2 linked regions of the Macaca fascicularis genome follow. The protein of the gene in region 1 interacts with the protein of each later gene in a pairwise test. Links are inferred from orthologs where the notes say so. Each region holds a gene or a part of one and is shown on either strand. Other genes may lie near its edges.

Region 1 (3,811 bases):
TGAATTTTTCTTCAATATTGCCTTCAGCTCACTTTTTCTGTGTCTTAATCATTCTTAATGGTTAATACATTTTTTTTCTCCTTGATTAAAACCCTGGAATATTCATTCAAGTGGGGGAAATCTGGCCATATTCATGGTAACACCTACTTGAGAAAAAAAAAATAGGACATTTAATCAAATTCAAGGTATTCAAGAATTTCTTCAAATAATGGTAGGTTCTGTTTATTGGAAATAATACCAAATCAGTAGCATTTATAGACCTAGAGTAAATAGCTCTTCTTTCTTTTCTTTTTGATTGCCAAATTTTTGAACAGTACTGCCCATCATTAACAATTGTTCTGCTAAAAAACAATGCAAAAGAGGCAATCTTTTATTTACTGCCATAGCAGTGAAAACTTTAAAATTTAAGAAATAATTTTCTAGTTGTACTTGCCTCCAGAACTCAGCCTTTCCCGTGTGCCTATCATATTTTGTATGCATGTCTGATTGTTGTTACTTTATGATTAGCATATATAGATTTTTCTCCGAGCATTTCTCATATAATCTTTAATTAGCAATTCACCCCTGTGAATCATATGCATTTAACTTTTTCCATTCTAGAAGGTCCTTTCCCAAATGCAACCATGTTTCTGTGCATGGTGGTAATTAAGTCATTGCTCACAGGGTATTTACTTAGTTTCTTAAAACATTAATTATTCTTTCCCTTTTTTTGTACTGCAGGTCTTCCGACCCCGAACTCCACCAGAGGCAATTGCACTGTGTAGCCGTCTGCTGGAGTATACGCCAACTGCCCGACTAACACCACTGGAAGCTTGTGCACATTCATTTTTTGATGAATTACGGGACCCAAATGTCAAACTACCAAATGGGCGAGACACACCTGCACTCTTCAACTTCACCACTCAAGGTAAATCCAAACACTTTGCTCTTCACCAGTTCTAGGAAAGCTACACACTGGGTGTGAAATGACATTCTATTAATTAAAATCTGTGGGAGACAAAAATGGACATATTAAGTACTTAGGTAGGCGAAAAGAGCATCCTTTCTAACTTAATGGTCACTACTTATATGATTTTGAAGAAAAGAGTAGCACATAAAAGTTTTCCAATAGGCATAGCTTCTTTAATTTTTAGCAGAATATAATGTTGGCACAGGAGAAGTTACAGAGAGTTCAGTGAGTGAAGTTTATCACTAATTGGACTAATGTACAATTTAACCTTTAGGTTTGGATCTGAAACTTAAAATAGTAGCATTTCTTGCTTCCCTAGAGTTTGTATCAAGTTTTTTTAAACCTGGAATGAATTGGCTATATTTGTATAAATTCAGTTGTCTTCCAAACAGGAGGAAAACTGGAGCCCTATAAACCCTTTCTAAGAACTTAAACAAACAATAGAGACAAGGAAATTTCCATCCCCTCTGAGATTTGGCACCATCGCTGCTGCAGAGAAAATACTGAAAGGAAAACTAACTTTGTGCATTGTGGTTTCTGGAAGACCTTGGGATAGTCACTATTTCTTCACTATTTCTGTGTTCAGTTTTCTTTTCTCCTTGATTAAGACCTAAGTGATTCATTCATTCAGTCACACTACCTCTGATGATGTGACTTTCTTCTTACACTGAGCATAAAAAATGTACAATTCATTACCAAAAAAAACACAGTTGATGTATTGATTAGTAAGCATACTCAGGCTAGAAAACAGAAAAGGGAGATGTTGAGCTTTCTGTGAAAGAAAGAAATCTATTTCCTTTATTCATATATATCATATCTTTCTTTTTAAAAAAAAAAAAGAAGACTCTTTTATTTTGGTATTTTAAAATATGTTTGCCCAGCACATTAGATATAAATATGATGTGGGTCTTGAACATTTATGTTTTTGAGGGTTTGGAGAATGCATTTATATTTGGATGTAATGTGTATAGATAGAGTGTGTGGTCTCTGTGGTTATCAGAGTGTTTATGTGATTCTGAGTATCAGTGAAAAACTGGACCCTGTAAACACAGTCATGTATTCCTTAGTGATGCAGATATGTTCTGAGAAATGTGTCATTCAGCAATTTTCGTCCTTGGGCAGACGTCACAGAGTGTGCTTATGCCTACTTATTATTGAAAGTGCTGTCATTTTGAGATATGGCCCCTTTTTAAAAAGTGTTAAAATGCTCTGTCTTAGCACCCATTCTGAAACTGAGCTGTAATCACAAAGTAGTACTTTCTCACGGTCTTTGTAAATCACTATTGTTACTGTTTTTGAACAGTGTTTCTATGTAAGATGTCCAGGGAAGAGAGGTTTTTTTTGTTGTTGTTGTTGTTATTGTTTTTGTTTTTTGGTTTTTTTTGTTTGTTTTGTTTTGAGACGGAGTCTCACTCTGTCACTCAGGCTGGAGTGCAGTGGCATGATCTTGCCTCACTGCAACCTCCACCTCCCAGATTCAAACAATTCTTGTGCCTCAGCCTCCTTAGTAGCTGGGATTACAGGCACCTGCCACCATGCCTGGCTAATTTTTGTATTTTCAGTAGAGACGGGGTTTCACCATGTTGGCCAGACTGGTTTTAAACTCCTGACCTCAGGTGATCTGCCTGCCTTGGCCTCCCAGAGTGCTAGGATTACAGGTGTGAGCCACCATGCCTAGCCTTGATGCCATTGTATTTGATATGATACTCTGTATTCTAATTTTGGAGCAGTGTTTCCAAATGGTGATCTTGTTTTCTGAGGCAGCTGTAACTGTGTACAGATGCAACTTTAAAGCACATGCTAGTTAGTAGTAATTAATGGATGACCAGAATAAAACTGGGTAATCCAAGGGGTTGAAGAAGGAGAATCAATCTTCCAGTTGGTTGTATAGCTAAAGGAAATCTAGAGATAGAAACATTGTGGGGGGTCTGGTTGAAGGGTGAGGGATATTAGTGAGGTTCTTCTAAAGGCAGCATAAAGCCCTCCTCCATCCTCATAACAAATTGTCAGTGACATCTGCAGCACTGCTTCCCCCAAATAAAATAAAGATCTACATATAGTAGGTGCTCAATGAATGTATGAGTGCCATGTACCACTTTAAATAAACATAATATTCATTAATTCATACAACCAGTATTTTTGGGGCATTTCTAATGTTCCCTCTGGTTGTCATTACTATTGTTTTAATTTCTAAAGTAAACCTGCTATATATACGGAACTATAAAGATTAAACACTTGAGTAAAATATAGTGTTTTATTAAGGTAAAGCTTACAATAAAGCTAACTGCAATTTGATGTTTGTTACTGTACCATGGAGTAATTAGCCATAAACAGTAATTAGCATTACTTTCATATAATCACAATATTTCCATATTCAGATAGACGAAGGAGAGAGATGAACAGATATGAGATGGACAACTTTGAGATCTTTCTGATTGCCTAAATCCATAACTCAGGAGAACATCAGACCTCTCTCATTTTTCCAGCACTGAAGCTTCAGTGTTCCAGGACCCCATGACTGACAATATTATCTGCTCTCAGATGTTGGAAATTGGAATAAACCTTTGGCACACCCCCTTCTTTCCATTTCTTCCTGTCATTAGAATTTCAAATTCAGCCATAGCTGAATCAGACCTTAGGAAGCAGATAGAATCAGGAAAGCCCAGTAAGGATCAGTATTTTCTTATTAACTAATTTGTTGCCTATTCCAAGGCTGGAATATATTAGGAAATCAATTGTTTTGTATGTTTAAAGGTGAGTCTTCCCCAAACTCTATCACACACATCCCCAATCTCAGTTTTTTACCTAATTTGTATGAAATTTTACCAATTGAAGTTATTTAGTAAATATTGTCCTCCTAAG
Region 2 (4,396 bases), on another chromosome or scaffold:
CACTCCAGCCTGGGCAACAAGAACAAAACTCTGTATCAAAAAAAAAAAAAAAAAGTCTCTCTTCGTCACCCATGCTGGGGTGCAGTGGTGCAATCTTGGCTCACTGCAACCTCCGCCTCCTGGGCTCAAGCGATTCTCCCACCTCAGCCTTCCAAGTAGCTGGGATTACAGGCATGTGCCACCGCACCTGGCTAATTTTTGTATTTTTAGTAGAGATGGGGTTTCACTGTGTTGGCCAGGCTGGTCTCGATCTCCTGACCTCAAGTCATCCGCCCACCTAGGCCTCCCAAAGTGGTGGGATTACAGGCATGAGCCACCACGCCCAGCCTCAACCCTTCATTGAAACCTTGTCCCAGCCTCTTTCCACCTGACCATCCAAAGAAAATACAGATCCAGCTTCTGATCCCAGTGCCCCACCATTCCGCAACTCTTGTCCTTGCCAAGGGGTGGGACAGACGCCCATCACCTTCTGGTTAATGACTTCTGCCTCCTCCTCCAGCAGGGCCACCAGCCTCCGCAGTATGGCTTCCTTCTCTGTGGGTGGGGGACCCTGTAATTCTGGAGGCAGAAGAGAATTTGGCTGGGGGCAGAACCCTATCCTCCTACTCCCATCCTTTTCTGGGGCTCCTCCGTGCCTCACCTGGGCTAGGTGGAGATTTCAGTTGCTCTTGGACCAGCTGTTCCAGCCGCTGAGCCACCAAGGCATAGAAGTCTGGAGTAGCTGGGCCTGGGGTGAAAAGAGTTAATGACAGGTTTCCAGGACATTGGAAACTTATGGATTCTCTCCTTCCCCCAACTACCGTGGCAGGTGGCAATGATTCCCATTTTATAATGGGGTAAGCTGAGTCCCAGTGAGAAAACTTGGTAAAAAATGCCAAAACCTTTGTACTTTTCATTTTATCAGATCCTCAAACTGCACTTAGAATGTCAGAGCTGGCCGGGTGCGGTGGCTCATGTCTGTAATCCCAGCACTTTGGAGGCCGAAACGGGAGGGTCACTTGAGGCCAGGAGTTTGAGGCCAGCCTGGCCAACATAGAGAAACCCCGTGTCTACTAAAAGTACAAAAATTAGCTGGTATGCTGGAGTGCATCTGCAAGCCCAGCCACTCGGAAGGCTGAGGCACGATAATCACTTGAACCCAGGAGGTGGGGATTGCAATGAGTCGAGATTGCAACCCTGCACTCCAGCCTGGGTGACAGAGCTCTGTCTCCAAAAGACTGTCAGAGCTGAACTAGACCTCGAAGATGATCTCATCCAAGGAAGGCAAACACAAGACACTACTGTTAGTATCCCCCTTCCCTCACCCACTTCAGACATCACCAATTGATCAAAGCACTTCCTCTCCCCAGCTGTGAACTCCTTTTCAAGCTAGCACTCGCAGCAGCCATTACTAGTCTGTCCAGGTTCACACCTACGGGGAAACTTGTGGGTCACCTTGATCAAGTCCAGTGACCTCCTCCCCAATTCCTACTCTGCTATTGGAAAAACAGGGGAGCAAGGAAGAGAAAGCATTTTCCCCAGAGTCACGCAACTAAAACAGCCAGGGAGATGTAATTGAAAACCAGCCCTCCTACCCCTCTATCAGCGGTATTCCTGGCTACAAAAGTCCTAGGGGCAGGGAAGTAGTTATGGAAGGAAAGAGACAACAACCAGATGGACCAAATGCTCTCTGAAAGCCAACCCACAGCATTGACAGATAGAAATCTAACTGGGGAGAGGAGACGACAGGACGGTTCCATCCTGAAGGCTGATGCTAGAGACTCCACACAGCCACCCCCTGAGTGATCTTAAACTAGCACCTTATCCCGTGTTCTGCCAGTTTCATAGACGATCATGGAAATCTCTTACCAGGCTCTGAACCATAGCAGGGGCGGATGGGCAGAGAGCAAGGCCGAGGGGACTCCGGGGGTGCTGCTCCTTGCCCCAGGGAGCAGGGAAGACATCTTCGAAGGCGGCTCAGGAAGTCTGTTGGCTCTTCTTGGGCAGGGCTTCTGGGGAAGAGGACTTCAGAGAGTGACCCCACCAAAGATCCCCTGCAAGCAGGCTCTTTCCCCAACTCCCTCCCTCCCCCGCTGAGGACCTCTCTCCAAAACAGAGAATAGAGCCAGATATAAAGAGAGGAGACAGACTGAGACCAGGAGCAAGAGTTAGGAGGGAGCCTCAAATGCTGGCCCCTGGGGGAGAAGGGCAACTCCTCTTACCTGAGTGGAGTTGGAACAGGAGACCCGGCAGCCTCACCACGCCTAAGGAAGGCAGCTAGGACCCTCAGCGTGTCTTCCCGGAGCCCCAGCTCTTCAGAGCCTGCCATGGAGGCACCTGTGAGAGAGGGGACTAGGGACTGGACTCCAAGGGGTTAGCAAGAAGTGGAGGCTTGGTTGGGGACCAGGACTTGTGAGTCCCAAGGAAGGCCTGGACTCCTGGGTCATTTGGAAAGTGTCGGTCTAGGGGCCTAGACTCTTGAGTCCTCAGACGAAAGAGGGGTCAGGAAAGACTCTTTGATCCAAGGAAAGGTGGGGGGGCTGGGTGCCCAGATTCGTGGGTCTAAAGGAGGAGGGAGATGGGGTCTAGACTCCTGAGTCTTAGAGAGAAAGGAACTGGAGCCCCAGACCCTTAGGTCTCCCAGGAAGAAGGGGCTTAGCGCCCCAACTCCTGGATTCTATAAGAGGCATATGCCAAACTACTGAAACCCTTAAAGCATCGGGAACTACCAATCCCAGGAGGCTTCAGGGCAAATCTTCCCCTCGGTCCGCGCTTCTTCGCCGCGCAGCCTGCTGTGAGGTGTAGTTCCAAATCCCCGACTCCTGCTGGAATCTAGAGGACCCTGGACCCTTGGATGTCGGAGAAGCGGGACTGGGGTGCCCACTACTGGATCCTGGCCCGCTCCTCTTCCCTCCTTACCCCACCCCTCGTCAACACCCCGCTGACCTGGTCCGGGGCCTCACCGCCGCCTCCTCCACTCAACCTGCCGCCGCCTCCACTCAACTTGTACAAACTTTATTAGTTCAACTTTCCCGCGCCTGCGCACTGGGCCGGGTCGGTAACTGGCCCAACGAAGAAAGGGCGGAACGCTGGATGCACGCTCAATTTGCATGTGACGCTCCCAGCATGCCTCTGGCCGGAAACCCAAAAAAGGGCATAGGGGCGGGGACAGCCCCGGGCCCCGCGGGCCGTCCGTTCGGCTCCGGGGTGTGTTACCCAAAGAATGATAAAGTTGGTTTTATTTCAAGAAGTCGATCGAAAAGAAAGCCTCAGCGTCTAGAGTTCAGCTGACGGGAAAGGGGGTGCGCAGCCCCGACTTTGAGAGCTATCCGGAGCCCCAAAACAGGGGTGGGCGCCAGCTCCCTGCACGCCCTGAGCTTCTATCGTAGGTAACGCGGAAGAGCCTGGGAGAGCGTTAGTGGCGTCCGAGAGCGAGGAGCGGGAAACAGGATGGGTCTGCACGGAGAGTGGAAAGGCAGGCTGTGTACTCTGGGGAAAGTGGAGCAAGGAAGGAGCTACAGTGGCCGACGCTGGAGGTCGGCTGGAGAAAAACTAGAAAAAGTAGGGAGGAAAGAGGAAAACAGGAGGCGTCTACACTGAGGGGTTCTACAGAGGGAAGGATGGACTCCGTACATGGGTGTAGTTCACTCCCGAAACCTGAGGCGTGCTCTGTCCTGGAGGAGGGGGGCTGGCAGTCGAGGAGGAATTGGATGGAAGTTCTGTGTTGGAAATGTTTCGGGGGATCTTCTGTAGGGGGACTGGGGAAGGGGATCTACACTGGGGTAAATGCAGGAGATAGAGGCTTACACGTGAATCGATTCTGCACTGAAATAACTAGGGAAAGAGGATGCTACCCTGAAAGTGGGGATACTTGCTTTCGATGATGTCGGGGAGAGAGGAGGTCTATACTGGCGGAATTGAGAGAGTGGAGGGTCTGCACTGAAGACACTGGGGAAGGGTATGCCATGGATATGGGAAGGAACCCTAGCGGATTAAGGAGCCTCTCGGGAAGATGGGAGGATGGGAAGAGGAGGTTTCCTGTTTGTACCCCCGAAAATATGGGTGAAGGACCTGTGCCGTGGCCCGTGAGAGGGAGGGTTCTGGGTGCGGAAACTCCAGGCCAGGTGGGTCCGGGGGAGGCCGGTCGCGCCCAGAAAATGCCCTATACGCGCAGGCCGGACCATGGGAACCCCAAAGCCACGGATCCTGCCCTGGCTGGTGTCGCAGCTGGACCTGGGGCAACTGGAGGGCGTGGCCTGGGTGAACGAGAGCCGCACGCGCTTCCGCATCCCTTGGAAGCACGGCCTACGGCAGGATGCACAGGAGGAGGATTTCAGAATCTTCCAGGTGCGTGAGACGACCGGGGACGCTGGAAACCCTGAGCTGCGCGCGGGGCAGAAAGGACTCCTAGCGGGCC

The links.
Region 2: the proteins of GSK3B (region 1) and BCL2L12 interact in a two-hybrid assay, tested with the Homo sapiens proteins (2 studies listed by BioGRID and IntAct). The link is inferred for Macaca fascicularis from reciprocal best matches to the Homo sapiens genes GSK3B and BCL2L12.

What each region holds. Positions count from the first base shown.
Region 1 is NC_088376.1:163,313,624-163,317,434, forward strand, and holds part of GSK3B (glycogen synthase kinase-3 beta), read left to right. Parts: intron 1-720; coding exon 721-907; intron 908-3,811. UniProt on the Homo sapiens protein: Constitutively active protein kinase that acts as a negative regulator in the hormonal control of glucose homeostasis, Wnt signaling and regulation of transcription factors and microtubules, by phosphorylating and inactivating glycogen synthase (GYS1 or GYS2), EIF2B, CTNNB1/beta-catenin, APC, AXIN1, DPYSL2/CRMP2, JUN, NFATC1/NFATC, MAPT/TAU and MACF1.
Region 2 is NC_088393.1:57,638,246-57,642,641, reverse strand, and holds the start of BCL2L12 (bcl-2-like protein 12), read right to left. Parts: upstream 2,990-4,396; 5' UTR 2,926-2,989; intron 2,829-2,925; 5' UTR 2,709-2,828; intron 2,317-2,708; 5' UTR 2,309-2,316; coding exon 2,202-2,308; intron 1,992-2,201; coding exon 1,849-1,991; intron 728-1,848; coding exon 641-727; intron 559-640; coding exon 467-558; intron 1-466. Other genes in the region: IRF3 (interferon regulatory factor 3), read left to right, coding at 4,162-4,396.